Bombyx mori: one gene and its partners. The main gene of each other region encodes a partner of the protein of the gene in region 2 in a complex. Links are inferred from orthologs where the notes say so. Each region holds a gene or a part of one and is shown on either strand. Other genes may lie near its edges.

What was found.
Region 1: the proteins of TOR1 (region 2) and target of rapamycin complex subunit lst8 are in contact, whole or in part, in a crystal structure (PDB 4JSV), measured with the Homo sapiens proteins. The link is inferred for Bombyx mori from reciprocal best matches to the Homo sapiens genes MTOR and MLST8. Residues at the interface, in NP_001373429.1 of Homo sapiens: Leu2269, Arg2270, Met2271, Ala2272, Pro2273, Asp2274, His2277, Leu2278, Thr2279, Leu2280, Met2281, Gln2282, Val2284, Glu2285, Val2286, Glu2288, His2289, Asn2292, Asn2293, Glu2536; in NP_001186102.1 of Homo sapiens: Tyr20, His22, Asp42, Ser43, Gln44, Val45, Asn46, Tyr62, Asn87, Glu105, Gln148, Thr174, Arg221, Tyr222, Leu224, Ser268, Arg270, Gly271, Trp272, Trp274, Ser290, Lys313, Val316.
Region 3: the proteins of TOR1 (region 2) and rapamycin-insensitive companion of mTOR are in contact, whole or in part, in a cryo-EM structure (PDB 6ZWM), measured with the Homo sapiens proteins. The link is inferred for Bombyx mori from reciprocal best matches to the Homo sapiens genes MTOR and RICTOR. Residues at the interface, in NP_001373429.1 of Homo sapiens: Arg1028, Asp1032, Lys1068, Leu1069, Asp1108, Asp1109, Tyr1110, Asp1150, Lys1187, Asn1196, Val1200, Gln1207, Asp1210, Val1211, Cys1214, Arg1215, Lys1218, Gly1219, Tyr1220, Thr1221, Leu1222, Ala1223, Glu1226, Glu1227, Asp1228, Leu1230, Ile1231, His1234, Arg1235, Arg1238; in NP_689969.2 of Homo sapiens: Leu204, Arg205, Gly206, Asn209, Arg245, Asp247, Val248, Glu249, Glu251, Arg252, Leu254, Thr258, Asp259, Phe260, His261, Tyr262, Arg263, His264, Ser265, Pro266, Asn306, Gly308, Ser311, Gly314, Val315, Cys317, Ile318, Pro319, Glu345, Ile347.

What each region holds. Positions count from the first base shown.
Region 1 is NC_085114.1:11,950,679-11,960,697, forward strand, and holds target of rapamycin complex subunit lst8, read right to left. Parts: upstream 6,970-10,019; 5' UTR 6,696-6,969; coding exon of another isoform or gene 6,564-6,695; 5' UTR 6,237-6,563; coding exon 6,054-6,236; intron 5,963-6,053; coding exon 5,813-5,962; intron 5,312-5,812; coding exon 5,250-5,311; intron 4,841-5,249; coding exon 4,687-4,840; intron 4,188-4,686; coding exon 3,997-4,187; intron 3,736-3,996; coding exon 3,393-3,735; 3' UTR 3,277-3,392; downstream 1-3,276. Other genes in the region: ADP-ribosylation factor-binding protein GGA1, read left to right, coding at 376-505, 587-1,145, 1,739-1,951.
Region 2 is NC_085109.1:10,804,664-10,814,798, reverse strand, and holds the start of TOR1 (target of rapamycin), read left to right. Parts: upstream 1-5,249; 5' UTR 5,250-5,384; exon of another isoform or gene 5,385-5,482; coding exon of another isoform or gene 5,483-5,732; intron 5,733-5,878; coding exon of another isoform or gene 5,879-5,997; coding exon 5,998-6,646; intron 6,647-6,738; coding exon 6,739-9,308; intron 9,309-9,389; coding exon 9,390-9,559; intron 9,560-9,657; coding exon 9,658-9,943; intron 9,944-10,023; coding exon 10,024-10,135. Other genes in the region: ubiquitin conjugation factor E4 B, read right to left, coding at 196-334, 403-1,038, 1,183-1,206. UniProt on the Homo sapiens protein: Serine/threonine protein kinase which is a central regulator of cellular metabolism, growth and survival in response to hormones, growth factors, nutrients, energy and stress signals.
Region 3 is NC_085128.1:9,694,443-9,704,581, reverse strand, and holds the start of rapamycin-insensitive companion of mTOR, read right to left. Parts: upstream 4,828-10,139; 5' UTR 4,626-4,827; coding exon 4,586-4,625; intron 4,455-4,585; coding exon 4,175-4,454; intron 3,605-4,174; coding exon 3,473-3,604; intron 2,449-3,472; coding exon 2,273-2,448; intron 1,048-2,272; coding exon 816-1,047; intron 207-815; coding exon 53-206; intron 1-52. UniProt on the Homo sapiens protein: Component of the mechanistic target of rapamycin complex 2 (mTORC2), which transduces signals from growth factors to pathways involved in proliferation, cytoskeletal organization, lipogenesis and anabolic output.

The DNA of each region.
Region 1 (10,019 bases), on a different chromosome or scaffold from region 2:
GAGAACAGGTACCCTCACTAATACACTACAATATAGTTTTTTTTTATTGCCTAGATGGGTGGACAACACAGCCCACCTGGTATTAAGTGGTTACTGGAGCCCATAGACATCTATAACGTAATGCGCTACCCACCTTGAGATATAAGTTCTAAGGCCTCAATATAGTTAGTTACAACGGCTGCCCCACCCTTCAAACTGAAAGACATTACTGCTTCACGGCAGAAACAGACAGGGTGGTGATACATACCCACACGGACTCACAAGATGTCCTTCCACTAGTAATTACGCAAATTATACCCACCCATAATATAAATAACTTTATCAAACTCAAAATTTTCACCATCTGCCAATTTAACTATATTATTCACACAATAGCAGATGATGTCGACTTGTTGGGAGACAGATCTAATAAACATGAAGGTTGGAACGAATTGGATTCCCTTGGAGAAGAACTATTAAAACAATCTCTACCAGAGAATGCTAAACGGATTGAAAACTTTAATAGGTATTCTTCTATTAATATTACATAAAATTCTCTCAGTTCCTCTATAAAAATGAAACTGTATAATATTTATAACTTTTTCAGTAAAACATCAACAAAGGTACCAATGAACGCATTGGCCTCACCAAAACATGATGTGAATTTACAGAACAACGGCGCATTACTAGATTTAGATTTCTTCACCAAGAAACCTCAGGAATGTAAACCTGTAACTGCGTCAACTTCTAAAGATGTGACACCCAGCGATGACATCATGGTGGATATTAGCACAGACGTTACTGATGCAACTCTCGTTTTGAACAACAATACTGAGTGTAATTTAAATAATATATTGGATTTCGGATTAGACAATGCCAAAAGTGAAACAGTAATTGATAAGGAAACTAGTGTTATTGAAAAGAAAGAAGTAAATCATAAGAATAACGAAGTGAAACCGTTGACTGATATAAATGTTACGTTGCAAAACGTAAGACCCAGTAAATTACAGCCGCTTACAGTGTTTGAAGAGGAAGAAGGTGTGACAGTTGTTTTACATTTCTGCCAAGATAAACCGAGGCAAGATGTTAATGTTTTAGTCATATCGACTACAAGTAAGAATAAATTGCCCATCGAAGATTATAAATTCCAAAGTGTAGTTCCTAAAGTGAGTGAAATTTTAAAATTGTATTTGTTTTTCTTCTTTCATGTTGAAACGACAAAATTGTTTTGCCAGCTTTTTATTACGAAAAAACTTCTCACGGTAAACTACGGCCGTTTTCCAATTACAGCACAAGAGCGCATTATGCGGCATCATGCTCAACTAGGCTTCAGCATAATTCGGCATTGTGCGTCACTGAGTCGCATTATGCTCTGTAATTGGAAAACTACCATTAAGTAATGGTTAATTACAGAACATAATGCGACTCAGTGACGCACAATGCCGAATTATGCTGAAGCTTAGTTGAGCATTATGCCGCATAATGCGCTCTTGTGCTGTAATTGGAAAACGGCCTATATCGACGCTTTTCGTTGACCCCAAGTGATTATTATCTAAAACTTCATTAAAGATTTCGTCCAGATTTATTATTCTCTTTACGTTTCAAATACTTTACGAATATTAAATTGTAAATTATAAACCAAACTTTAAAAGTGCTATGATTGGCATCTACGATTCACTAAAAAAAAAAATTAGAATTTTTTAAATGCGTGTGTATTTAGTAACTACTTGTAACTAACGTCTGTGTAATACAATTTCAGGGTTGTAAAGTTCGGCTACTGACACCGTCGGGGACGTCACTGCCGGCGTACAATCCGTTCCTGCCGCCGCCAGCCCTGACGCAGGTCATGCTGCTCGCGAGGCCGCCTTCTATGAATAACATCAGCCTGAAATTCGTTATCACGTACACGTGCGACGAGGAGGTGTATTCAGAAATTGGCGAAGTCAAAGAACTGCCTCTAGAGAAAATCTAACATATTCTTTAAAACATTAAAATGCAGTCGGTGATCGGTGCAATTGTTGGATCCGGAGAATTTGGTTAATGAATAATCCGATTATGTTTCTTATAAAAATATATGGTCGCATACTGAACACTAAAACCGGCTTCAAATTGATACATTGATAGAACCGGAGTGTTGACTATGAACTAAGTAACCATTCTTTTATTCAAATAAAATATCTTTTTACACCTTTTAGCAAATCTCATAGTTACTAAATAATTAAGTTTATTCATTAAATGTTACAAAGAACAAAACAATTTTACTTAGTTTGAACTGTCAAGCGATATTAATGCGCGTACGCTATCCTACCGCGCTTGTTTAAAATTTCGCGCTTTGACAATTATTATTATTATATTTTATAAATCGGTACTAAAAAAAAATGATAATTAATAATATTGAATTAAAGTATGTACATTAAGAATTATATCTAGTCGTCGCTGTATTAGCGAACAAAAATGTACTTATTAACATTCCTAATGCGAATATTCTTATTTGTATTTAATAGTTATTTAGTTTTATTACACTAAAAATTGACGTCTTTTATATAATTGAATCCTAATGTTTTAAAAAAAAGTATTTAAATTTGACGTACAAGTACCTAGTTATAATATTATTAGTTTTAGTTTTGCATTTATGGAGATCTGATACAATATACCATAGTATTATGTACGCTATAAATAGATATATTGATGTTTCATGGGAGCTTGTAAATGTTCCATGAAATATGTATTTGTTGAACGAAATACACACTTTAAAAATGAAGTTGACTTGGTCATATTTTATTTACTTTTACAATCCATCTATACTGTTTAAACGCTCAGATACTTCTGTGAAATTACCTTAAATGTTTCAGATTTATAATACGATTTTTGTATCACTTATCTCACTTGCGAATGAATGTCATTTGCGTCCATTCCAATTATTATTGTTAATGCAACAATCACCTAGCTGAACCCTTCAGGGCGAACCTCGAGTCACCAGCTATCCTTCCATCCCAAAAAGGCGATGTAATGAAAACGATAAAAGTAGCTTTACTTTAGTTCATTAACATACAATTACCATCGCTTTCTCGAAGTAATTACAAACACAATACAATAAACAATACAAATAATAATTCAAAAACTATTATTTATTTTCTGCCTGCTACATGCTACTTTGTTGGCCATGTGCATTGCTAGTGTTTAAGCACTATTTTTTGACAAATAATATAACCAGTAATAAAAATTATAAAATTAAAAATAGTGTTTATTTTTATAAAAATATACATTTACACTTTTTATGAAGAAAAAAACCATTAATGCTATGTAATCATTTATTCAATTAAAAATTAATTCAATTATTATATTATTTACAACTTTATTATTTATTTATTTAAACTTTATAATCATCCCAAATTATTTTAAACCATATCTATTCAAACAGGTTGATCTTTAAACGCGAGTGCTGTGATGGCTTTCTGATGACCGCAGTACTCCCGTTCAAGCGTGCCACGCTCAATGTTCCATAATCGAGCATAACTATCCGATGAACCTGTAAATAACAAAATAAAATTATCTGGTTTTTTTAAACTTTGAAAAAATTGACTGGGTTGCCAGGAAATTGAAAATGTCTTACCAGTGAATAAAAATCGAGAATCAAGCGTAAAGGCTGCGTCCCAGACCCATCGCTGCGTGTCGCGCCGTAGCTCTCGCAACAGCGCCCAGTCGCTCGTGCGCCAGATCTTGGCCGAGCAGTCGCCCGACGTCGTCACCAACATGCTATTATCACATTAGTCAGATATTAAACATTTTCTAAGTTACTATACTTATTGCCTTACTTATGCCTTGCTTTCTTGCTTGCCTTGCTTTACTTATGATAGAAGAGTATGGAAGGAGAAAACATGTTGCGCTGACCCCGGGTGACTGGGAGAAGGGCAGGATAATGATGATTGCCAAGATAAACTCATTTAATAAACACATGCAACATCTAATGTCTTAAAGTTGATTTTAACTGAAATGCTGTAACATCTCCAAACTCACGTTGAATCTGGGCTAAATTTACACCGTAAAGCATATTTAGAATGTGCAGTAATGTGTTTTTTGGGCACAGGGTGCGGTGGTTGTCCGCTCAACGACCACACGTAGCAGTTGCCCTTGTTATTAACAGCCGCCATCATCTTGCCGGCTGGATCAATAGCTATGTCCTGAATCGACGCCTCCGCTTCTGGTATCTAACAAAAATAAGGATAAATAGTATAATATTTATGTGTAACATGTAAATGAAATAAACATGGTTTATTTAAATTGAATTATGTGGTTGGACAGGCACTTGGCTAATGATTGATCAATTACTAGAGCTTATCAATAAAACATAAATGCTCAAAACTGATGATTGTTTCGTGGAAAAAAAAAGGTAGGATGGTGGTCCATACACAAGTGGGTTTATAATACATCCAACCATCAATCAACCTATTAAGGACAGCAGAAATATGTTATAATATACAGAAAATACTACTGGCCATTCTCTAGTAAATACCTCAGTAGCCTTTCTATATATCCATTATGAGCATATTGGTGATATCATGTTGGCATCAGCTTTTTATGCAGGAACACTACTGAATAGGATGCGGAGATAGAGTGTTCCTTTCACTTTTGTAGCTCACCACAACATACTGTATTATAGCTTCTCAGCTGATAGTGGATGTAAAAAAATATATATAGTAAAGTTACCAGTTGTTCATTTTGATCCGTTTTCAGATCCCATATATGTATAATGCCACTCTGGTCTCCAACCATTATCTGGGACTGATCAGGATGAAGCATTACTGCATTCACCGGAGCTTGAACTTGGAATATCTTTTGACACCTTGTACGTGGTGCAGCCCTACATGAGAAACATGCCGCTTTAAAATTTCTATACTAAGCTTTCTAGGTCCAGTCAGTAAATTGTGTTTTTAAACTCAATAAAAGTTAAAGTTTAATTTCAGAGATCAGCAGACAACCTCATGGTCTCCTAGTGTAAATAGTTATTAGCTTCTATGATCTAAATTTTGATTTTATTCCATAACCATTAGCATTACACTTGACAGCTTTAAAGCAGGAATCATATCTTCATACCACCAGTAAATATCAGTTGGTGAATCTTTTATAATAAGCACGAATATAACGAATGATATAAGGTGCTGCATTGTCATCTAGCATCAGAGAAACCTCCAAACATCATTTGGCCAAGGTTAGAAAACACAAATGATGTTACCTAATAACTGGTTGATATAATACATAGCGTCTTTAACCTGGGATCCCATATCCTGGCTGTGCAGTCCTCACCTCCTGTGTACATCCAAGTGCCATTTTTCTGCAAAGTTACAATTTAAAAAAAAAAAAAATTAATGACTTGTCTTATTGTAATAGATGTGTTCACAAATTAAATATCCAATCATAAATATACATAGTTTTTTTTTTTTCTAAAAGATAACAATCTTGAAAAGTTGTTTGAAAATGAATAACTGATTTTAACATCAGTTTTTGTTTAAAAACTGCATGTCGACACAATTTGTGTGTTTTTCAAATTGTTGCCCTAGAAATAATTATAATCTCAAAGATTTATAGTAATTCCTATGCCAGTGAGATCTCAAATATTTAAAGGACACTGAAGATCCAGTTTCAACTGAATGAGTTTTGAACTGAGAAAAGAAATATATTTTTTTTTCTATTCCTGGCAAATATTTAGAGACATATATTAAAGACACGTACTTCCTGTAGTTTACTGTCAGTGACACCTAGGTCACAAATAATCTACCTGAAGGTCATGTATATATTGTTTTCAACAAATTTTAATTGAATTTATGCATAATACCTGAAACCCAACTCGAGATACGTTTTTGGAGATGTCCTCAAAAGTTGTGACCGGGTCTGGATTGGCACTACTAAGATCATATAACCGTATATGCTGAAATCCAGCTGCTGCTACCATCGATGTTGGTGAGATCTCCAAGCTGTTCACTTGCTGAAAGGAAAACTCGTCATGCAATAAGCTTTAGCTGATTTTCATAATATAATCAGTTTGTAAAAATATCACGAAAGTTAATTTAAGTTACCTCACAAAAGATGACTGGCATGTTAATCTGAATTATATTTGTACAAAGTGGTCTGCTTGTATTAAATCTTAGCTCACAATTATCTGACACTGTCGTGACCAGTTTTAATCGTTTAGGTAATTCTCTTTTTTTGGACATTTTTGCAACTTTACAGGAGAGCCATTTAAAGTTTAAAATTCTCATAATAAAAAAAGTCCATCAGCTATTTGGATGCAGTAAGCTTAATTGATGTTCAATCAAAAACATTGAATTGGTGATAGTTAATACCAAATAAAATGGACCTTTAATTACAAAGATAAATGTCGCGTATTAATCGAAATATCGCTTAATTCAAATAGCCTTTCAGCCCTCGTTATTATTCAAAGCGAAATTTCCAAATCAATTTTTTATGAAAATTTAAAATAATCATGCAAATTTACGGAGCGATTTGAATGAGTTATCTGGAAATGAATTGAGTCATTTTGGTCATTTATAGAAGATCAATAACCGAAACATTAAAATATGAAGTACCGAATCTGGATGCTGCATTGTTCGTAAACAAACACCACTGTGTGCCTGCCATAGCTTGATAGTATGATCGTAGCCTCCTGTTACTAAAGCCACCTGCGATCCTCCAAGAGAAGCAGTGGTATCACCAGCCATTTTATGAAACTTATTGTTTAAGCAATTGGCATATTTATTTCTTAAAAGCACATTTTTTTATTTCCAACTGCCAGGTAATTTTGAAATTTCGGATTTTAATTTTTAATTTCGAACTTTCCGAGCAACATAAATCTTGTATGATGTGATATAATCTACGTTATACTTGAACCGAATTATCGGGGCGCTTTTAATATTACTGTAAATTCTAACTAATGCATCTCATAAAGTCAAAACATAACCAAAACAACACAGCACAGGTAATTCAAAGTTGAATGAAGTTAGCCACTCAAAAAAATTTTTTTTTCCTATTTTATACTTATTTTCTATTAATTCGTTTGTTCATCATTTGTTCATGATTGTTCACTGTTAATAATTGTTTGTTCTGCATTTATTTATTTAAAAAAAATATTTAAAAATATACCTACAAGTTAGCCCCTCTAATGCAATTTTTTATATTTTTTCATCCTTAATGACTCGTAAATATTCATTTTCGATTGTTCTTATATAAAACACGTTTGTCCTCTTTCGAAATTACTCGTTTTTTGTTTAATTTACTATTTTTATTAGTTGAATAAATGTATGCAAAATATGTGTACTGCGCATGCGTCAACTATAATGCCTAAACTTTCCACGCGGTTTTAATCGTAAAAAAAAAACAAATATAAATCCTGAAGGAGCAATTAATTGGTATACAGTTTAATTAAAAAAATTAAAAAATAAATAAATGAAATAATGTGCATTGGCGTTAAGTTAGACCAAATACATTTTTTCCATCCTCTTACCTATCGTATTAAAATGTTATTTTACTAATGTTAGGAATATAATTTCGACTGTGTAAAAAAGTTATTATAATGTATACCTATATTATCTCTTGAAAGATAAATAATGAACATATTTACTTATTTGTTTATATTACCTATGTGAACTCCCTATCTTTTTTATACCTTCATAACGATAAGTAGGAGGATGGAAAAAATGTATTTGGTCTAACTTAACGCCAATACACATTATTTCATTTATTTCTTTTTTAATTTTTTTAATTAAACTGTATACCAATTAATTGCTCCTTCAGGATTTATATTTGTTTTTTTTTCACGATTAAAACCGCGTAGAAAGTTTAGGCATTATAGTTGACGCATGCGCAGTACACATATTTTGCATACATTTATTCAACTAATAAAAATAGTAAATTAAACAAAAAACGAGTAATTTCGAAAGAGGACAAACGTGTTTTATATAAGAACAATCGAAAATGAATATTTACGAGTCATTAAGGATGAAAAAATATAAAAAATTGCATTAGAGGGGCTAACTGGTAGGTATATTTTTAAATATTTTTTTTTAAATAAATAAATGCAGAACAAACAATTATTAACAGTGAACAATCATGAACAAATGAATTAATAGAAAATAAGTATAAAATAGGAAAAAAAAATTTTTTGAGGGGCTAACTTCATTCACCTGACTTGAATCACATTTTCTTTGGATGCCTCCTACGTGACTGTTCCTCATTCATAAATTCCCTGATAAACCTCCGAGTTCCTCTTCCCACATCAATCCCTACATTATTAATAATATTAAAATGTAAACAGTTTTAAAATATAATATTCTTTTTATTTATACCCAATCACTATATATTATGAACTCTTAGGCATTATTATATATTATTATCCTATTACGTACATATCCTTTCCAAATTTCGAACCTTCCAATTGATTCCTAAATAAAACTGGTTTCCCTACCTTTTCCACACTAGTAGTGGCAAATGCACAAACCGTGCGAGTCAAAATATAAAAAAAATAAAAAATACATGCTTCCATCTTGAGGTTTTTTCTTGTTAATCTTTCGTATTTTAATAAGAAACAACATCTTGGTACCTAGATTATGAAACTAAAACATATCAAGAAATTATTTTCATGTTAATCCAACCTTAAAAATTGATAATCAAGGAATTGCATACCTATCAAGTTTCTGATATAGGTACAAGCCCAGACCCAAAATCTTGAGACAAGTACTGCATCAGATCAAATATTAGGTATCAAATTGAAATACAGAACTAGGTACCTATCTAATGGATGCAGTCTTACATGGTCAGTTTGACTAGTCATAATATTAATTCTCAATAGTATGAGTATTCTAAGATGGGATCAATCACGAACTAGATTTAAGTAATTAATGTAGGTACCCACCTACATTTTATACCCTCAAGACTTCTAGTAAAGTCTATGTTCAGTTCCATCCCTAAAGTACGATAACAGTTCTTTTAACTTGGTCGAAAATATTTATACCTGCTACGAAAATTAGTGTCTATATATGACCAATGACCTATTACTGAAACTGCAAATCCAATCAGCCAGGTTGCTCAGTTACTAACCTATGTATGAACTGAAATTAAAACACTAATTATAAGAAATTACTTTATTGAACATGTAAAATCCGTATTGACATGAGGAATGCTAATTCTCATTTACAATATAACACAAATGTAAAATTTGAGAGACAAATCACATCGACAACCTACCTATAACTAACTAAAATACAACATACACATGAATTTCTTAAGATTATTTTTATGGTAATGCCACAAATCTATGCTAGAATTCACCTGAAAGGCGAGTCTCAAGATTAAAATGACACTTATGTGGTATAGTTTTATAATATGCATAAGTCCTAAATAAAGCCACGAGGTAACCTCGACAAATGCTTAAGCTTATTGTTTGGTACCATTATTAGCAATGAATTTACAATGAAGAGGTAGGTTTGAACAAGCGGGTGCAATATCCTTCCAAGGAGTAGACATTATAATAAGTCTCTAATTTTACATATTGATAGTTACACCAAAACTTATGTCCAATAGTTCAGCATTAAAATAAAACTGAATCGATATAAAATAATTCATAAAAAGCACAGCTTTAATTAGATATTGGTGCAGACATAGAAGTTTTGATAAAACCAGTCAAAAGTATATCTCAAAATAAGCATCCACAAAGTCACAGCGAACTTAACGAGGGAGGGCTAACTGTACAATTCCCTGGTGAAATACATGCTAACACTTACACATTATTTTTTTGAGGCTTAGAAACCTAGACCCTAGTGTGCGGCAAAACTTTCCAAACTCTGCATCTTATTTTATATCTATCATAACTAACACTACAATATCAAGAAAATTAAAGGAATATTGAATCAAGAAATGAATTATTTAATTGCATTTTATAAACAAAATACCAGTTGCAGTTAAAGATGATTCCAACTCTCATTAAATGTTAATCAAAATCAATGTCAAATGCATTTCATACAGACTTTGGAAAGTCAGTCCCGTTTTAC
Region 2 (10,135 bases):
TGACAAGTTTTATTCTAGAATCCTTTAAAAAACATATCTTGATTTCATAGAATTTTAAATTGAAAGAACTGTTTTAAAAAAATAACAATTTTGTTATTATTGCAAAATATTATGGATTGTTTCCAAATTAGGTAGGAAAGATTATTTCCAAACATTAACTTTCCTTTCATTCCTAATTAATATATATTAATTTACCTGCACTGTCATCTGACCATGAAACTTGAAGAATCTTTGATACAATGGTGCGTAATTGCTCTTCTGTCAACTCTGTGCAACTGACAGTTCGAGATCTATGTATTTTACGTGCCGGAGATGCTGATGAATCATCTTCAACCTTAAATTACACAATAGGTTAGAAACAATTTTACAACAAGTTACATTGGATTTTCGGTTCTTTGCTACCTCCATTGGTTCTTGCTGAGCTTCAGATTGAGAATTTCTTTCAGACACATCATCTACTTCCATTGACAAAGAACGACGAGAACAACTTGGTGAAGCATTTGTTTGTCTTGGTCGTACAGGTGATGGCTCAACAAACTGTGGTGGAGATATTGATCTTGATGTGCTATCTTCCCTTGTAGAACTCCCTTCTGAACCAGCAACAGTATTTTGCGGTAAGCTTCCCACTCTCACAGACCCACAACTTATCAATGTGTCATCACCCATTGAGTCAAAGCTACTGTACTGTCGTGTTTGTGTAAGATCTGTCATTTTTGTGTCTGGCATTTCATCCAATATATTGTTGTCAGTTTTTTCTGTTACAATTAAACCGTCTGCTGATATTTTATTTTGATCTGATTGATCTGACCTGACTTCTTCTGAGTAATTGGGCTCTTGATTTGCATTCGCTGTGTCAGGAGTGGTGGGTTCTGTAGAGCTTCTAGTTGAAGGAGCTGGGGACAATCGTAAGGGTTGCTGTGGACTGTGTAGGTCAGGAGAAGGAATTGAGGCGCCAGGGGTTACCGGAGGACTAGCTGAAGTAGGCACTGATCCTGCACTATTAAGAGCTGCGAGACGAACCAGGCGTCTTCTTCGTATCTGTAACGAATATTGACATCTTGCAGCACGTGTGAGTAAATGACAATTGCTGGGACGTTCACCATTGACGCTTTGTTTTGTTACGAAATTAGATTGGCCATACGTAGTAATAGACGGTCGTTTAAAAAAATTATTTTGACTTACCTCCTCTTGGCTCAATTCACTCATGATGAAAATTATAGAGTAGATTTTTCTATTAATTTGTTCGGCCTATTCTGTTACGTTAATTTTTCTTTCAATATTTTTAAGAAAAAGAAGCACAAGCCACACAACGAGTCAGTCACCTCGCTCAGCTGTTTGACGTTTGAGGCTGCACAGTGCACAATGACAATGACGAAGTTAATAATGAAAATACACGCGTCATCTTTGTAGATGAATTAGTATAAAGAGTATGTCTCTTTTTGTGATATTTGAAACAACGTAAACAAAAAGAGATAGCACCAAATATGACATTCACCCACTGTAAAAATGTTACCCTAGCAATAAAATCATTCTAGTACTATATAATTAAAGTTTTTTTTAATAATTTTCATACCTACCTACTTTTAGCATTACCCTTCCTGGAGGGCTGAGCCTTTGCTCGGCCAATGGCTCAAAATAATCCGAGTAGAATATTTAATTCTTACACAAACGCAAATCTGTATATGTGTAACATTTATTTGATTTTTGCGGCATAACGTAGTGTAAGTGATTGCAATATTAAAATTTAAAATAATAAATTAATGTGTTTAAAAATGTGTAAGTCGTATGATTTGTTCCGAACTTTTCCCTTTAAGTAAATGAATTCAGTCAATTCTCTGCAGTGTTTTCCTGCAGAGCTGCAAAATCCTGTTATTTGCCATGAATAGGTACGTACGGACAGTAACCAGAAAGAATAACCTGACTCATAAAAAAAATCACATTCACAACTTCTCTTCACTGATACCAGTCAGTCACTTACTTTTTGCATGGAAGTAAGTAGGTAGGTAGGTGAAATAAAAAAGGCAGTGCCTAAAAGTCAATTTAAACGGGAAAAAGTGGCAAGAATAGTTACTATGAATTTATAAAGAGCAATAGCGAGACTGGTAATTTTCGGGGCAGGATTTGGTTAGTTCTTTTAGTTCTTTACGTGTCTCTGCTTGTTTTGAGAAAACTTTTTTGAGGGTAGTACGATTTACAAAATGATATACCTATTAGTCCCAATAGAGGTAGGTTTTTTTTCTAATAATAGTAAATGTATAAATGATCTTATACTAGTCAATAATAAGCATATTTTAACACCATTTATTGACGATATTTTTTGGCCATTAATTTATTATTACATTCCATAATTTGATCTAATGATGACAAAAGTCTACATTTAACGATTTTTGTTTACTCTTTGAACTTAAAATGAAGAAGTTTTGGGTTTTTGTAATTTAGTCTTGAATTAACATGAATAGTTATTCTGTATCGTTATTTATATGTATTCTTCTATTTTTCTACTGTACTTGTAGATAGACGATCATGCGGCCTACTTGATGATGAGTGGTTACCGTAGCTCATGAAGACATTCTGTTTAAAACTCAAAACTCACTATTTAAACCCCACAATTTTTTTCTGTCTGTTTTAACGTCGACGTAGCCTAAAGGATAAGATATCCGTTGCATTCGTGTTGAGCGATGCACCGGTGTTCGAGTCCCAGGCGGGTACAACTTTTTCTAATGAAATACGTACTCAACAAATGTTCACGATCGACTTCCACGGTGAAGAAATAACATCGTTTATTACGAGGGCGGCACTAAAAATTTCGGGAATTAACGAAGTGACACAACATTACTATTTAAAAATGTATTTATTGCTTTTCGAAGTATTCTCCGCGAAATTTGACACATTTTTCCATACGATGGAACCAATCATTGAAGCAACCATTCCATTCGGAAGTTGGGGTCTCCAAAATGGCCGTTTTGTAGGCGTCCACAGCTTCTTCAGGTGATGAAAATCTCTGTCCACGCAATTTATTCTTTATTTTAGGGAAAGTATAGAAATCATTAGGGCTTAGGTCGGGGCTGTACGGCGGATGGTCTAATAATTCTATGTTTTCTTGCTCTAAAAACTCTTTTGTTCTGTGCGCGGTGTGAGAACTCGCATTGTCGTGATGGAGGATGATGCGGCGGTTGCAGTTCTCTTTACGGAGTTCAGAAACGACCTGTGGCAAACAAATGCTAGCATACCATTCTGCATTAACCGTTCTTTGTCTCTCAAGAGGAATAGTCGTAACATGGCCGGTTTTGGAGACAAACGTGGCCACAATTTTTTTGAAACACTCCGTGAACGAACAATTTTTGTTGGCTTTAACTCATTTTCGAACACCCAAACTCGTGACTGGTTTTTTGTTTCGGGTTCGTACGCGTATATCCAGGATTCGTCACCTGATACAATGTTGTATACAGCATTTGAGGATCCTGCGTGGAATCTTTCGAGAGTTCTGACGCACCAAGTAACGCGAGCCGCTTTTTGCTCTTCACAGGGCGAATGCGGTATCCATCGGGAAAACAACTTTTTTACACCTAATTGTTCATGCAAGATTATTTGTATTTGACTCATGCCAATGTCTAAAGTTGCCTGAATTTCGCGGTATGTCACATGTCGATCTTCCTCAATCAGCTTACGCACAGCATCAACGTTTTCTTGGGTGACTGCAGTTTTTGGACGACCTTGACGGGGATCATCACTGAGCTTGACACATCCACGTTGAAACTCAGCAAACCAGCGATAAATTGTGGTTTTGGATGGGGCTTCATCACCAAATGCAGAAATCATCCGGTCAACACACTGTTTTTGTGTTAAACCACTTCGAAAGTCATAACATATCATCGCTCTTGAATTTTCTCGAGTCAATTCCATTTTCTCAACGACTAAACAAGTTTGACAAAACCTCGTGACAAGACCGAGAATCTTTTTTTAAATAAATAAATGGTATTCGATTTTTAAAATCAAGGAGTTTTCAATTAAAAAGATTTTAATATGACAGGAACAGTGGAAATATTCCATTCCCGATACTTTTAGTGCAGCCTAGTAAAAATCAAACCGCAAGTGTTGCTAACACTGGCCCTAACATCTACTGGTGGTAGGACCTCATGTGAATACTGGTGGTAGGACCACTTGTGAGTCAGCGTGAACCACCACCCTGCCTATTTTGGCCATGAAGCAGTGATGCGTTTCGGTTTGAAGGGTGGGGCAGCCGTTGTAACTATACTTGAGACCTTAGAACTTATATCTCAAGGTGGGTGGCGCATTTACGTTGTAGATGTCTATGGGCTCCGGTAACCACTTAACACAAGGTGGGCTATGAGCTCGTCCACCCATCTAAGCTTTGATGTTTAATGTGTTTTAAGCAAACACATACTATGTTGTTTGCTTTCCCTATTATTTTCGAAAGCCATAAAAGAACCATAAATGGCTTTGATGAAATGTCTATGACCCGAGTTGAAGCTGATGATCAATTTAACTTTGTCGTACACGAAAAAGAAAAAGATAAAAGTACACAAAAAAAATTATATCACACGGATTCTTCAATGTATCTAATTATAATAACTATGTATAGTTCAAAGTAGGGAAGCAAGGGTAGTTTTCCAATTACAGAGCATAATGCGACTCAGTGGGACACAATGCCGAATTATGCTGAAGCATAATTGGAACGTGAATTAGTTTTCAAATGCATCAGCAGAGTGCGCTAAGTTCAGTATTGAAAAAAATATATTCAAACCTCATTAATGTATAAATAATGTAGTGGTAAACAATAATAATTGGTTGAAAACTATTTACGGTTATTTTAAGTAATTTAGATTTTGATTATTTCATTAACACTTTTTTAAGTTTTGAGTAATTTTTATAAACGAGTTATAAGAAAATTATATACTTTTTAATTGAATCATCTTATCCAGATGATAGTGTTGACGATGATTTATCGAGTGCTTCGAGTTTAAATCAATTATTTCATTAACAAGTGATATACTTATTGAAAATATATATGATAATGAAACAGATGAGTTATTTGAGCCATTAATAAAATATCTGATGACAGGCAGTACTTTTGAGAGTGCTCGATTGTGCGAAGCGTTGCTGTAGTTGGACCATTCAACGTTGAGCATTATGCCGCATAATGTGCTGTAATTGGAAAACTACCAAGAAGATTTTTTTAAATACCTACATTTGTGAACCATAGATAATCTATCAATCCTGTGTCAATGGCCGAATGTTATTAACTTCATTTGTTTACATTTATCTTTTAATAATTTGTTTAAAAATCGTTGACTATCAATTAAGTCGACAAATATACAAACGAAATCATGACTAATAGTAATTTGAGTGAAACATTGATAGAGGTTTGAATTCATAATAATTTATAGCAGTGATGGTGATGAACTGCGAGTGTAATAGTTTGTTCTGAGTCTTTTAAAAAACAAATCTGGCTTTCCTTGAAATGAAAATTTCTGACAAAGGCGACAATATGACGAATCATCAAGTATTAGAGCTGATATCAGGTCTAAAATCTCGACATTCAGAAACAAGACACCGAGCTGTGCGAGAGTTGCTACATTTTGCCAAAACAGAACTGCGGGAAATGTCTCAGGATAGTTTGACCCAAATTTTAGATGATTTCAACCAACAGATACACGATATGACCACTAGTTACGATAACAACGAAAAAAAAGCTGGAATTCTTACTATAGGTACATGATAGAGGTTATATTTTTCTATTGGCCATGATTCACATGTCTTTAATGGTTCCAAATAATTAATCTATTAACAAATACAGAAATTTTGGAGTAGGTGGTGCTAATTTAAATAAATAAAATGTTATAAAATATCTTTTCAGTTTGTCTTATTGGAGGTGATACAGAGACCACCAAAACAAGGACAATACGTTATGCAAATTATCTACGAAATGTGTTTCCATCTACAGACATAAATCTCTTAGAATTGGGTGCTAAAACTATGGGACGATTAGCTTCCTCATTAGGAATTAAAAGAGGAGAATATGTGGAGACTGAAATAAAAAGATGTTTCGAATGGCTAGCTGAAGAAAGAAATGAAGGCAAACGATTATCGGCTGTTTTAATTTTGAGAGAACTGGCTATATCTATGCCATCATATTTTTTTCAGCAAATAAATGGATTCTTCAATCATATCATGAGAGCACTTAGAGATCCTAAAGATCAAATACGAGAAGCTGCAGCAAAAGTTTTGAGGGCTGCTTTTGCAGTAACCTCTCAGAGAGAGCAGCCAGAGCAAAGTAACAAAGCTCATTGGTATATTCAATGTTATGAAGAAGCAGAGACATCATTTGGTGATCATGCTATTAGAGAAAGGGGATTGAACAGGGATGACCATGTGCATGGAGCTTTATTAATTCTAAATGAATTACTCAGGTGCTCAAATGCAGCATGGGAGAAAAAATACACTTCTCTAATGCAAAAGCTAGACCCTGATTTAGATTCTCATGATGAAATGTCTTCTCTCAGTCCTAAAATTCAGGGTTCATGGTCATTGTCACATTATTCAGATGAAAAAAATCAACCTCTAATATTTGAATCCAGTATTTGCAAGAAATTAATTGAAGATAATTGTGAAAAAATCTCAGCTGGTATGAACTGGCAAAAAAAAATTAATTTGTATTTAGAAAAATAAATTATAGTGTCATTGTATCTATTGAGACTAAACAATTATTTTTTACAGATGTAATGGCTCAGCAAATATCAAGAGCTCATAATGTGCATCAGATGCTCCTTCTGTTAATACCTCGATTAGCTGCCTTCAACAAAGAAACTTTTGCTAAAAGACATCTGAAGTCAACGATAAATCATTTGATAACATTCTTACGTGGTAGAGAAAAAGAAAAGGCCATGGCTTTCACCACACTTGGCTTGGTTTGTGTAGCTATGGAATCAGATGTACAACAGTATCTCTCAAGAATTATTGATATTATCAAATTAACCCTGCCAATCAAAGAAACACAGAAAAAACGTAACGGATCTGAAACACCATTATTTCATTGTGTTACATTACTAGGATTTGCCATGAAAGAGAATGTAGCAAATGAAGTTAGAGAGCTGCTAGATTCTATGTGTTTGACAGGCTTAAGTCCACAATTAACAACTTGCTTTAAAGAACTAAGCAATAATTTACCTTCTTTAAAAAAAGATATAACTGATAAATTATTGAACATGCTATCTTTAATATTGAGAAAGAAACCTTATGTTTCTACCAACGAAAATCACAAAGGTGTCTTCACAACTGCTTTGCTAGCAGAACCTCATGATGCCAATAAATTAGTATTGGCTTTGAGGACTCTAGGTTCTTTTGATTTTGAATGGAATAACACTTTGATGTCCTTCATCAGAAGGTGTACAGATCATTATCTGCTGTGTGATCATCACGACATTCGGCTAGAAGCAGTAAAGACAGCTGCAAGATTATTAACGAAAGCTGTGGAGAGATGCGCCCAGATAAATTCACGAACTTTAAATTTAATGATTGATGAATCCATAGGTAAAATTTTGTCTGTTGGACGATCAGATTTTGATCATGAAATACGCTACAGAGTACTTGAGGTGTTTATGAATCCAGTATTTGACAGATATCTTGCTGTAGAAGAACATCTAAATTGTCTTTTTGTTTCTATTAATGACTCGAATTCTGAAGTTGGAGAACTAGCACTGTGCATTTTTGCAAGATTGAGCAATCTCAACCCAAGCTATACCACACCAACATTGCGTCAACTGTATGTACAAATTCTAATAGATTTGCAACATTCAGAATCTCCGCGGAATAAAGAAAAAGCTTTACGAATGATAAATAATATTATATCTCATGCTCCCACAATTACACGTCAATTTGTTGATACAATTCTAAATGTGCTTATACCGAAACTGAAAGAAAAGGACAGTAATTCCACTATGATATCTACAGTACTAAAGGCCATCGGAGATTTGGCAGAGGTTAATGGTGGTGGACATGCTTTAAATAAATGGTTAACAGAATTGATTTCTACTCAAATTGAAATCCTGGCAGATCCTAATCAAATCGAAAAGAGAAGTGTTGCCCTATGGTCTTTTGGTCAAGTTGTAAGTGCAACAGGGCACGTGGTCGCTCCATACATGGAATATCCCAAGCTAATGGATCTTTTGCTAAATTTCTTAAAAACGGAACAGCAACTTCGAGAAATACGCGAAACTGTTCGGATTTTGGGATTGTTAGGAGCATTAGATCCATATAAATATAAAGTAAATCAAGGATTAATAGATTTCCAAACTGTGTCTACTTTGATACCTATAAGGGAGCCGTCAGTCGATAGTTTTGAATCTAATATCAGTGAAATGTTAGTAAATATGTCACCGTTAGTACTAGATGAATTTTATCCAGCCATCGTAGTGACTTCACTAATGATAATGTTGCGCGATCCGACGTTAGCGCACCACCATCCAAGTGTTGTGCATTCTGTAACTTTTATCTTCCAATCACTGGGTATTAAATGCGTCCCGTACATATCACGTGTGACGCCAACGCTTCTACACGTTATTCGGACAACGGAAAACAGCAATTTTCGTGAAATACTTTTGACGCAATTAGCACAATTGATATCTGTTGTGAAAATCCACATTCGAAACTATCTGGAAGACATTTTTGACATGATAAGGGAGTACTGGACTCCCAACAGCCACCTCCAAGCTACCCTAATAATGTTGGTCGAACACATAACGGTCGCGATCGGTACAGAATTTAAAATTTACTTACGTAAAATACTACCGAACATTCTTAGGGTATTGAAACACGACACAAGCAAGGATAGATTTTTGACAGAGAAACTGTTAATAACAATACAAAAGTTTGAGAATAATTTGGATGACGTGCTCTTGTCGGTGGTGCCAGCGATAACCGCCCTGTTTGACGGGAGAAACATTCCGTTCGCAATTTCGAAGCTTGCGATGGAGACCATCGAGCATCTCTCCGTGCACTTGTGCGTCAAACAGTATTCGGCGACAATCATTCAAGCCCTCGTCAAAGTTTTGGATAACAACGCTTCATTGAGGCAAACTGCAATGAACACTCTCTCCGCTTTGATAGTTCAAATGGGCCGCGAATACATAGATTACATACCGTCTATGGAAAGGATATTATCGAAACATAAAATACAATGTCCTAACTATATCGTGTTGGTAACGCGGTTACAGCTAATATCTACGCTTGCATCAGATGATGATTATTTGGACGAAACGCGGTCAAGACTTCGTAATCAAAAGAACGAAGTGAGTGTAGGCAACATCTATTAGCAACTTGTTGTCACAATTAAACTGGGTGTTTAAATAATAACATGATCTATTTTCTAGATGGTAAGGTGCACAACGGAAATGCAGCCTATACAGAAAGTTACGTTAAATGTACACAATTTACGTAAATGTTGGTCTGTCCATAACATTGTGTCCAAAGAAGACTGGATGGAGTGGTTGCGTCTGCTCAGTGTCGGCTTCCTGACCGAATCCAACAGCCCTGCTATCAGGCGAGCAATTGTGATATTTATTTATCAGTCCCTTAATTGTAAAGCATAAATCAAGAGTTGTTTAAAAAAAATTGGTAATTTTGGTAAATTACTTACAGAGCCTGTTCTACTTTAGCACACAACAACCCTCAACTTGCGAGCGATCTGTTCAATGCGGCGTTCATGTCGTGCTGGACGGAGCTGGACGAGTCCTCGCGCAAGGACTTGGTGGCGGCCTTGGAGCGAGCACTCACCGTGCCCGACCTGCCGGAATTAGCGTTAGCGGTCCTCAACCTGGCCGAGTTTATGGAGCATTGTGAAAAATCATTGTTACCGATTTCCATAAAGTTACTCGGAGACACAGCTATAAGCTGTAGGGCTTACGCTAAAGCTCTTTATTATAAGGTTAATGAATCTTTATTATTGTTCATAGTTAATTAAATGTCTTAGTGATTTTTTTTTCAAATTTTTTATACACGTTTTAGGAGGAAGAGTATAAGAAAAATCCGTGTACGAAGGTAATTGAAGCTTTAATTCATATAAACAATAAGTTGCAACGTAAAGAAGCTACTAACGGCTTACTCGAAAAAGCAGTTA
Region 3 (10,139 bases), on a different chromosome or scaffold from region 2:
TTTCAAAATCATTAAGCAATTAATTTGATTTACAATTAAAACTGGCACTTACCCGAACTTCAAGACGAGGTAAATATAGAGCAGCAACAAGTGATCGTAATCCCCCAGCACTCGATGGGTGACAAAAATGTAACAACCCTGGCCAACTCCTTAAAACGCATAGCAACGCCAATCTACTGCAGGTGAACCGCATCTCTCTCTCATCCCTATAAAGAAATAAGTATTTTAGGTTTCAATTGTAGTGCCAACTATGTTTGAGCCGAACACTGATGCTAAATACCCAGTGATTTACAACATGGCCTATCCTATTATTCCTAGCTATATCATCCACAGTCAGTAATTGATTTTTTTAGCTATTGCTTTAATTATTCTTTACTAAAGGATTTAAAAAAAAATACTGCGATTATTTTTTTAGGTTGCATTAGTTAAGAGACTAGACTAAGAGATTTTATTTTCCAAAGAAAACTTTAAATTATTCATACCCGTCGGTTGCGACGAAGGGCTCTACAAGTAATTTGACCTACAAACAGCCCACTGAGTTTCTCGCCCGATCTTCTCAGTGGGTCGCGTTTCCGATCCGGTGGTAGATTCTGCGAAGCACGGCTCTTGCTAGGGTTTGTGTTAGCAACGTCGTCAAGTTTGAGCCCCGTGAGCTCACTAATAGTTAAGGTTATGCTGAAATAGCCTCTCAAGGCTAGTCTCAGTTTAGGTAGGAAAAAAAAAACAATTATTAGCTTTAATTTGCACCATTGTTTTGATTTGTCTGGAAAGTGAACGGCTAATATCCATTTTTATAAGAAGCTTATAATAAAAACCTGGTGGAATCTGTAGGCGCTGAACGGAAGTGGAAGTCACAGTACGGTGCAGCTAGATGCGTCAGACAGGCTGTGGTGAGGCGGGCGGCACGTCGCGGGCCCGGTCGGTCTAACACGTGCAGGAGAGCACCGCACAACGCCTCCGCTTGTCGCGGGGTCGCGCATTCGGCCAGCTGGCGGGACACGGCACTGGCGCCGCCACACCACACCCACAGCTCCGGGTTGACAACGCCTGACAGACATAAATTATTATTTTTGAAGTGAAACTTCTTTAGATCGTTGTGCTTTCAAACTCCATGAAACGAAAAAATAAGTCCATAGACACAAACACAAATGAATAGGATTCAGCCGGCAAGAGAATGCGATAGAACACATTAGACATTCTCGGTCTCTGCTTTGTTGTTCTCTTTCTCTTCGTAGCATCCCCACTATCGTATACTAAACATTGTCCATATGTATGCTTCTGTGTAGTGGGATAGTCAGTATATCTATATCTTATTTATAAGTTTCACTTCTACCGTGTGTGACATGAACACACACATTTTTTATTTTATTTTATTTTTATTGCTTAGATGAGTGGACGAGCTCACTGCCCACCTGGTGTTAAGTGGTTACTGGAGTCCATAAACATTTACAACGTAAATGCGCCACCCACCTTGAGATATAAGCTGTAAGGTCTCGCTATAGTTACAACGGCAGCCCTGCCCTTCTAACTGAAACGCATTACTGCTTCACGACAGAAATAGGCAGGGTGGTAGCACCTACCCGTGCGGACTCACAAGAGGTCCTACCACCAGTAAAGTACCGCCAGTAAGAACATTACTTAGCTTCTCGACCAGCAGTGTTACTTTTTGATATCCACAATTTGTAAGACGGTGAACATTAGCATTCATGTTATGCGCTAATAACTTTAGCTGATAATTTGTCAAGACGAAGGTTCCTGCGTGATAATAGTCTGGCTATGAATGAAAAGGGAAAGGTTCTAAAAAAATTTTTTTCTTTTACATAGACACCTTGAACCGTCAAATAAAGTGATAAGGAACACATAACTATGTTAGTGAAAAAGTTTAATTAGTTAGGAAAAAAAATCATAATCAATTTATATCAAGATTAAAAAAACGATTATGTATGAAAGTATGCATCCGATAGATTAAGTATGTAAATAATTTCACTAAAATGAAGTATTTCAAGATTTTTAGACACCTTAAAGTTGGTGAAAATTGCATTGAATTGTTAACATTAGATAGATACAGGTCAAGTTAATAAAAGCATGTTTAAGAAGTACATTTCGTTTGATGGTATGTGTGTATTATAATTTACATTTAGTTTAAGAGAACGGTTAACAATTAAGATTGGTTTCCAAGTGATACTCTGTTTAGTAAGTCTATCAGAATAAAGGATATTATTATTACTAATTCCCAAAGCCAAGGCTTCTTAATTAAGTATTTTGAACTTACTTATCTCTGCTAATGTGGCCACAGCTGGACGGGATAGTCGATCAGCTGTAGGGTCTGCTGCAAGTGCAGCTAGACATCGAAGAAGTGCTGCTGCAGCTCTCATTGTGCACGCCCGCCGAGCAACACGCATAGCTTGGGCACGTTCTTCTTCATTGCGAATAATAACTTCCATAGATCTATAAAAACATGATAGTCTCACATTTGAAAACTTTCTTCATATTCAGTTTCAATAATTGTTATTTGTATTAACTCTACTATTATGTACATTTTGTGTATACAATGTACATGGCAACTTCTATTTATGAAATTTGTTCATAACATGACACAGTAATTATATCAAATTGATTATTTTTGATTAATGCAATCTATTCATTTTTCAACTGTATGTATTGCCTTTACAGTCAATTATCTATTTTTAGGTATTCTATTCTTAGGAAATACTAGGTATGAGGGTAGTGTTGGCATAGCCAAAACAATTATGTTATACTACTAACACTTAAGTATGTAAAAGGAAAAGGGTATATTAACATAAATATAAAAACTTGTCAGTTTAGAGTTAATATTTGTGCAACTACAATGATGAAAAGACCTCTGAGAAGTAGCTCAATCCTAGACTATGGAATCAGCACCTTGGCTTAGTTTTGTGATCAATTACATTTATTAGTAATGTAACCTTATTAAGCACTAATCATCATTTTATGAACTTTTTTTTTATTGCCTGGATGTGTGGACGAGCTCACAGCCCACCTGGTGTTAAGTGGATACTGAAATCCATAGACATCTACAACATAAATGCGCCACACCCCTTGAGATATAAGTTCTAAGGTCTCAATATAGTTACAACGGCTGCCTCACCCTTCAAGCCGAAACGCATTACTGCTTCACGGCAGAAATAGACGGGGCAGTAGTACCCACCCATGCGGACTCACAAGAGTTCCTACCACCAGTAATTACACAAATTATAATTTTGCGGGTCCCAATATGGCCTTTATTTATGGTCATCACTTTCCGGCTAGCATGTTAGCAGCAGTAGAAATTTGTATGAGAAAAGACTGAATCAAACCAATTAACAAAAACAAACAGGCTTAAAATAAAAATACGTGGGGTCAGCAACATCTTAGCACTGTTTTATAGATATCTCCAGTTTAAAACACAGTTTTTTAAGAGTTTTACAATAAAAAGTGCTTTATTATTTTTTACCTTACAACGAGGTAGGGTAATTTCATATTATTGAAAATAGTGACATCATAATCAGTCTTCAACAAGTGACGTATGACTCTTAAAGCGGCAGCTCGAATAACCATAGACTCATCCACAAGACTAATACGCAAGCTGAAAACAAGAAATATGTTTTAAATAATACCTACTTATGTTTCATATTCTCTAAATAAATGTTAATATTTCCTTCAGTTTTCATAAGTTGTACGCATAATTAAATCTACTGTCTCAGAGTCAGTTTAAGTTATACAAACTGACATACTTCAAGATTATTAATATCTTCTGTGCAAAATGAAACATTAGTGTGGAAATATTATTATAGAAAAACAAAAAGTAGTTAGTTGAAGGTCGACTAACAATACTCAAATGCTGACAACATATTTTTCATACATGACTACAAAAACATCAGAAATAATGAAAAACGTAAGATAAAAACTTAAAAGTTGTTTAAATTATAATATATATAACCATATACAACTTTACAATTTGACATTAGTGTGATTTTTGTGACAAATTATAAGTAACAATAACTTTGTTAAAGACCCTATTTTATTTTAAATACTTACAATACAATATGGCATACAACAATGAGTTTCGGCTATGATACAAGAATATTTATTGAGCTTATAAGATTCAGTATTGAAATTTTGTCACAACAATATAATTTTAATACATAATTCTTACCATGCCATCAACTCATCAGGAGTAAACCCTAGGTTGCTTCTCTCTTCTTTACATAACAATGTTACTAATGCATTCAGGTAGGCCAATTTTCTGCTATCAGTACTACTTCTGTGCATGCCTCTAAATCCTGACCTGTATTCCGTAGGCACAGTTTTGTAGGAGGGAGATGTATCATTTTGTGTTGATTTTCTTACGTAAAGGCCTTGTATTATGTCCCTGATATTCTCTTCCGGAGTTCTATTCTTGATGTCCAACTTAAACAAATCACTTGCAGGTTTTCCTAAAATATGTGATGAAAAATTATAGTCTATGCTGCATGGCAAATAGTAACAGTCGAAGTCAATATAATTGAAAACAACATTAACGTAGAAATTAAACAAATCGTTAATGTAATTTCTACAAATAAATTACCTCTCCTTCGATTCAAAATGTGTTCGGATAAATCCATCATCTCATTTTCAAAAACACAAGCTAAATTCGATATTGTTAAATAGTCACCGCTCTAATTAATTAGTTTTTCTCAGGGTTAAAATAAATTAACTGAATACAGAAAGTGTAATAAAATTACAACCCTGTTTTCCTCGCACACCAACATCACAAATCCACACATTTGATTTTTTTAGACGTCTGACATTCATTGACGTATTTGACAAACTGTTAAAATGTTTAAGTATGATCTATGCTAAGTGAAATTTTTGTTTTGTCAAAGACGCAAATGAAATTGCAATTCTATAAATTCCCATAAGATGATTTTCAACTAGCAAAAGTGTGCTTTGTACGAGCTTTTTAACTCTAGCGGCAAACGTAGGGGAACTGTTCCAACTCCACACAAATTTGAGGCAACTTTTACGCGATCTAGAAGTTAAAAAACTCGCACTAAGCACTTACAAAGCCCCATACTCATGATCAAGTAGCTATCCTTCAACAATCGATTACAATCAGAAGCGGTGTGGTTGTTTTGGAAGCCATAAAAATACTGAAAAAGGTATAGGTATTTTAATGAACTGCAGCTCAGTTGATACACGTATAATATATACGTATATCAACTGAACTACATATACGATATACGAACTACAATATTATACGATGTATGATATACGATATACGTGATATACGCTTATATACTATTTGCAAAGTCGAACTTCGTCATTCCACCAGTGGCGTAGTAACTAACTCATCTGTGACCAATGGTGGGTGTACATTTAGGGCAGTCGGGGCAAGTGCCCAGGGTGGCAAAATTTGAAAGTGAAAAATGGTTTTTTTAGTCTTATCAAGATTGTTCTATATAATTAATTACTTTTATTAATTCATAATTTTCTGTTTAATTGATAATTCAAGAAATTCAATTCATCCATTATTTGCGAATTATAATTTTGGCACTTTTGGAAAAAAAAATTAATAACCAAAATGATTTAATCAATTTATTTCCTTGGGATTTAAAAAAATATCGGATGTTTCTATTTTCTGGAAATAAAGAAATTTAATTAGCATTTTTTAATGTAATGTCATTATGTGTCACCCTTAGTAAAACATTTAAAATTGTTAGAGAAAAACAAATATTTATTTGTTTTTGGAATATTTAACATAATATATAATAAAGCATACAAACAAAAGTTACAAAATATACTACTATTTTGTAACATTGGTTACTGTTCGCGCGACAGCGCGACGTTTGTAAATGTTCGGCTCAACTCGGGTGCCGTCGCCCGTACGCACCCCGCACCTCTCATAACAGTGCGGTACATGACGGCACGCGGAGATACGCTCGTTCGATATTGAGTAAATTGTGCGCGCGCGCCTTTCGATACTAAGTAAAAGGTATAGTGTGAACCGGTGAAAAGGTGTATGTGCCACCCATCGCAGAGAAACACCACTACGACCGTGATAGTGCCAACATCAGCCTCCAAGTAAGTCCCGTTTTCCTACCTACCCTATCGTGTCCGCTTATTCTCCGCAGAGTTCATATGCTCCCTTTCAGCTCATCAGCTCACGTTTAAGGTGACGCTCACCTGCGTCACCAGTTACCTTTAAATTTTTTGGCTGGATAAGTTAAATAAGGAAGCTTCTAGTGATGGTGTACCATTGAACATAGTTCCTAATTATACCGATTGTGTCAACTTAGGGTGCGTTCCACTAAGCGTTCACAACGATCACGCTCACGACCGCAATTTTTCCCGTTCCACTTGCTCGTGAGCGTTACTGTCGTAAACTCAAGTGGAATGGATTTATAGAGCATTTTGAGCGTGGAGGTAAATAATACAAACGGCGAGTTAATAAAAAGCTTTAAGAGGTTAGGTTATAATCTGTAAGCCTTGAAAATAAACTTATTTAAATATTGTTTAAATCGATTCATATTGAAAACATTTATAATTTAATCTTTTATATTTAATATTAGTGGTGTATTTAATTAATTTACGTTCAAATGTAATTAAAATGTCTTTTCGGTGGCTTTTCGGCACTTGGATATTTGCTAAGAGGTCGCAATAATGCTCCAGATAGTATCTCTTTCCGCATGAAATAACGTAAGCTTAACGGTCGCCATTTTTGATGCTTTGAATTTTGAAAACGCCGCTAATTTTCTCAACGATCACTTCGACCCACCTTTTTAGATGGGTCGTCGTGGGCTTCGCGTGAGCGTAAGTCATGACTTCATAAGTGACGTTTTCGCCGCGACCACAACGACCGCGGTCGTTATGTGGAACGACTAAAGGAGTATTTTGATCGTTGTGGGCGCTTAGTGGAACGCACCCTTAGTAAGAGAGGAACGTTATCGTGTATGGAAGGTATTTTTCGATGAAAGGTCTTTGGAAAAAGGCGTGTGGTATAAAACAATTCAAAGTTTACCATGTTAATCGCCATGGTTTGATTCTTGTAACCTTAATAGAACCACCCTAGTGACTGTTTTCAGACTTCGTTCCGGGCACATCCCACTCAATAAATTTGCTCATTTAATGGGGAAGGCTGCTGATCCCAATTGTTCAGTTTGTGATGTAGTGGAAGACGCTTTTCACATTATGATGGAGTGTGCGCGGAATGATGATTTGAGACAACAATTCTTTGAAAAACATACAGATTTTCGACAAGTTGGAGGTGTAAATTGCGTATTAACCTTTCTGGAATCTGAAATGGCTAAGTCACTTTATAAAATTGTGTTGGTGGGCCTTCAGAGACGATAACAGTTTTCTTTATTTTTTTATTTATTTTTTGTTACTATCTTTTGTTGCACAATGGAGTGACATATTCACTAAGTGAATAATCTCCATAAATAAAGATAAAAAAAAAAAAGTGTGTGTGCTCCGACGCACGACTGGAGTTTACTGGATATAAAAAATTAAACGAAACAATACGAGAAATAGTTCTATATTACGACAACACGATACACTACAGATTATTAACAAATTAACGAGACACAAAACAAACGACTAACAAATATATTTCTTCCGTTCTTCTCAGTGAGCCGCGTTTCCGATCCGGAGGTAGATTCTGCGAAGCACGGCTCTTGCTAGGATTCGTGTTAGCAACGTCGTCAGGTTTGAGCCCCGTGAACTCACCTGCTAGTTAAGGTTACGCTGAAATAGCCTCTCAAGGCTCTCAGCTAGGTAGGGGAAAAAAAACTGCTTTCTTTTCAGAATGCAACTGCAATAATATTTAGTTATGTATATATTGAATTATAATGTAATTTAATTTTAATATTATATATAGAGACACTTAGGGACTGGTATAAAAAAAAGTATCATTACCTAAATTAAAAAACTTTAGAAATAAAGTGCTAACGCTGAGTTCATCATGATTTCCAAATTTTTTATTAACAAATTATGGTAGGCAGCGGCTTGGCTCTGCCCCTAGCATTGCTGACGTCCATGAGCGACGGTGACCACTTACCATCAGGTGGGCCGTATGCTCGTCTGCCTACAAATGCAATAAAAAAATTATTTATATGATAGGTATTCAAATGCTATTTAAGATATTGTGCAAGAATAAGCTTGAGCTTATATATTTTGATTTTCTGATTCCTTTGAGTCAGGAACACAGAACTTAAACCACCTCTGATGTGGCTCACTGAATTTGGCCCCCCCCCTTTTTTTGATTTTCGTTTTTTTTATTTTTTATTATTTGTTCGTCGTTTGTTCGTTAATGTTCAAAATGTAAAAATTGTTTGTTCGTCTAGGGGGCTAAATTCATTGAGCTTATCCCAAAGAATGAGCTCATGGGCTCTGTAAATATGCCCCCCCCCCTTTTTTTTGTTTTTCGGATTTTTTTAATAGCTCCAGCCCCTAGCTCCAGCCGCTTGCATCAACCGCTAGCTCCAGCAACTAGCACCAGCCGCTAGCTCCAGCCGCTAGCTCCAGCCGCTAGCTCCAGCCGCTTGCACCAGCCGCTAGCTCCAGCCGCTTGCATCAGCCGCTAGCTCCAGCCGCTAGCTCCAGCCGCTTGCACCAGCCGCTAGCTCCAGCCGCTTGCATCAGCCGCTAGTTCCAGCCGCTAGCTCCAGCCACTTGCACCAGCCGCTAGCTCCAGCCGCTTGCACCAACCGCTAGCTCTAGCAACAAGCCCCAGCCGTTAGCGCCAGCATTTTAGTACCAGCCGCTTGCACCCACCGCTTGCGCCAGCCGCTTGCACCAGCCACTTGCACCAGCCGCTAGCTCCAGCCGCTAGCTCCAGCCGCTAGCTCCAGCCGCTAGCTCCAGCCGCTAGCTCCAGCCGCTTACACCAGCCGCTAGCTCCAGCCGCTTGCACCAGCAACTAGCACCAGCCATTAGCTCCAGCCGCTAGCACCAGCCGCTAGCACCAGCCGCTTGCACCAACCGCTAGCTCTAGCAACAAGCCCCAGCCGTTAGCGCCAGCATTTTAGTACCAGCCGCTTGCACCCACCGCTTGCGCCAGCCGCTAGCTCCAGCCGCTAGCTCCAGCCGCTTGCGCCAGCCGCTTGCGCCAGCCGCTTGCGCCAGCCGCTAGCTCCAGCCGCTAGCTCCAGCCGCTAGCTCCAGCCGCTAGCTCTAGCTGCTTGCACCAGCCGCTAGCTCCAGCCGCTAGCTCCAGCTGCTTGCACCAGCCGCTAGCTCCAGCCGCTTGTACCAGCCGCTAGCTCCAGCCGCTTGCACCAGCCGCTTGCACCAGCCGCTTGCACCAGCCGCTTGCACCAGCCGCTTGCACCAGCCGCTTGCACCAGCCGCTTGCACCAGCCGCTTGCACCAGCCGCTTGCACCAGCCGCTTGCACCAGCCGCTAGCACCAGCCGCTAGCTCCAGCCGCTAGCTCCAGCCGCTAGCTCCAGCTGCTTGCACCAGCCGCTAGCTCCAGCCGCTTGCACCAGCCGCTAGCTCCAGCCGCTTGCACCAGCCGCTTGCACCAGCCGCTTGCACCAGCCGCTAGCACCAGCCACTAGCACCAGCCGCTAGCACCAGCCGCTAGCACCAACCGCTAGCTCTAGAAACAAGCCCCAGCCGTTAGCGCCAGCATTTTAGTACCAGCCGCTTACACCCACCGCTTGCGCCAGCCGCTTGCACCAGCCGCTAAATCCAGCAACTAGCACCAGCCACTAGCTCCAGCCGCTTACACCAGCCGCTAGCTCCAGCCGCTTGCACCAGCCGCTAGCTCCAGCCGCTTGCACCAGCCGCTAGCTCCAGCCGCTTGCACCAGCAACTAGCACCAGCCGCTAGCACCAGCCGCTAGCACCAGCCACTTGCACCAGCCGCTAGCCCCAACCGCTAGCACCAGCCGCTAGCTCCAGCAACTAGCACCGGCCGCTAGCTCCAGCAACTAGCACCAGCCACTAGCTCCAGCAACTAGCACCAGCTGCTAGCTCTAGCAACAAGCCCCGGCGGTTAGCGCCAGCATTTTAGTACCAGCCGCTTGCACCCGCCGCTTGCGCAAGCCGCTAGCTCCAGCCGCTTGCACCAGCCGCTAGCTCCAGCCGCTTGCACCAGCCGCTAGCTCCAGCCGCTTGCACCAGCCATTTGCACCAG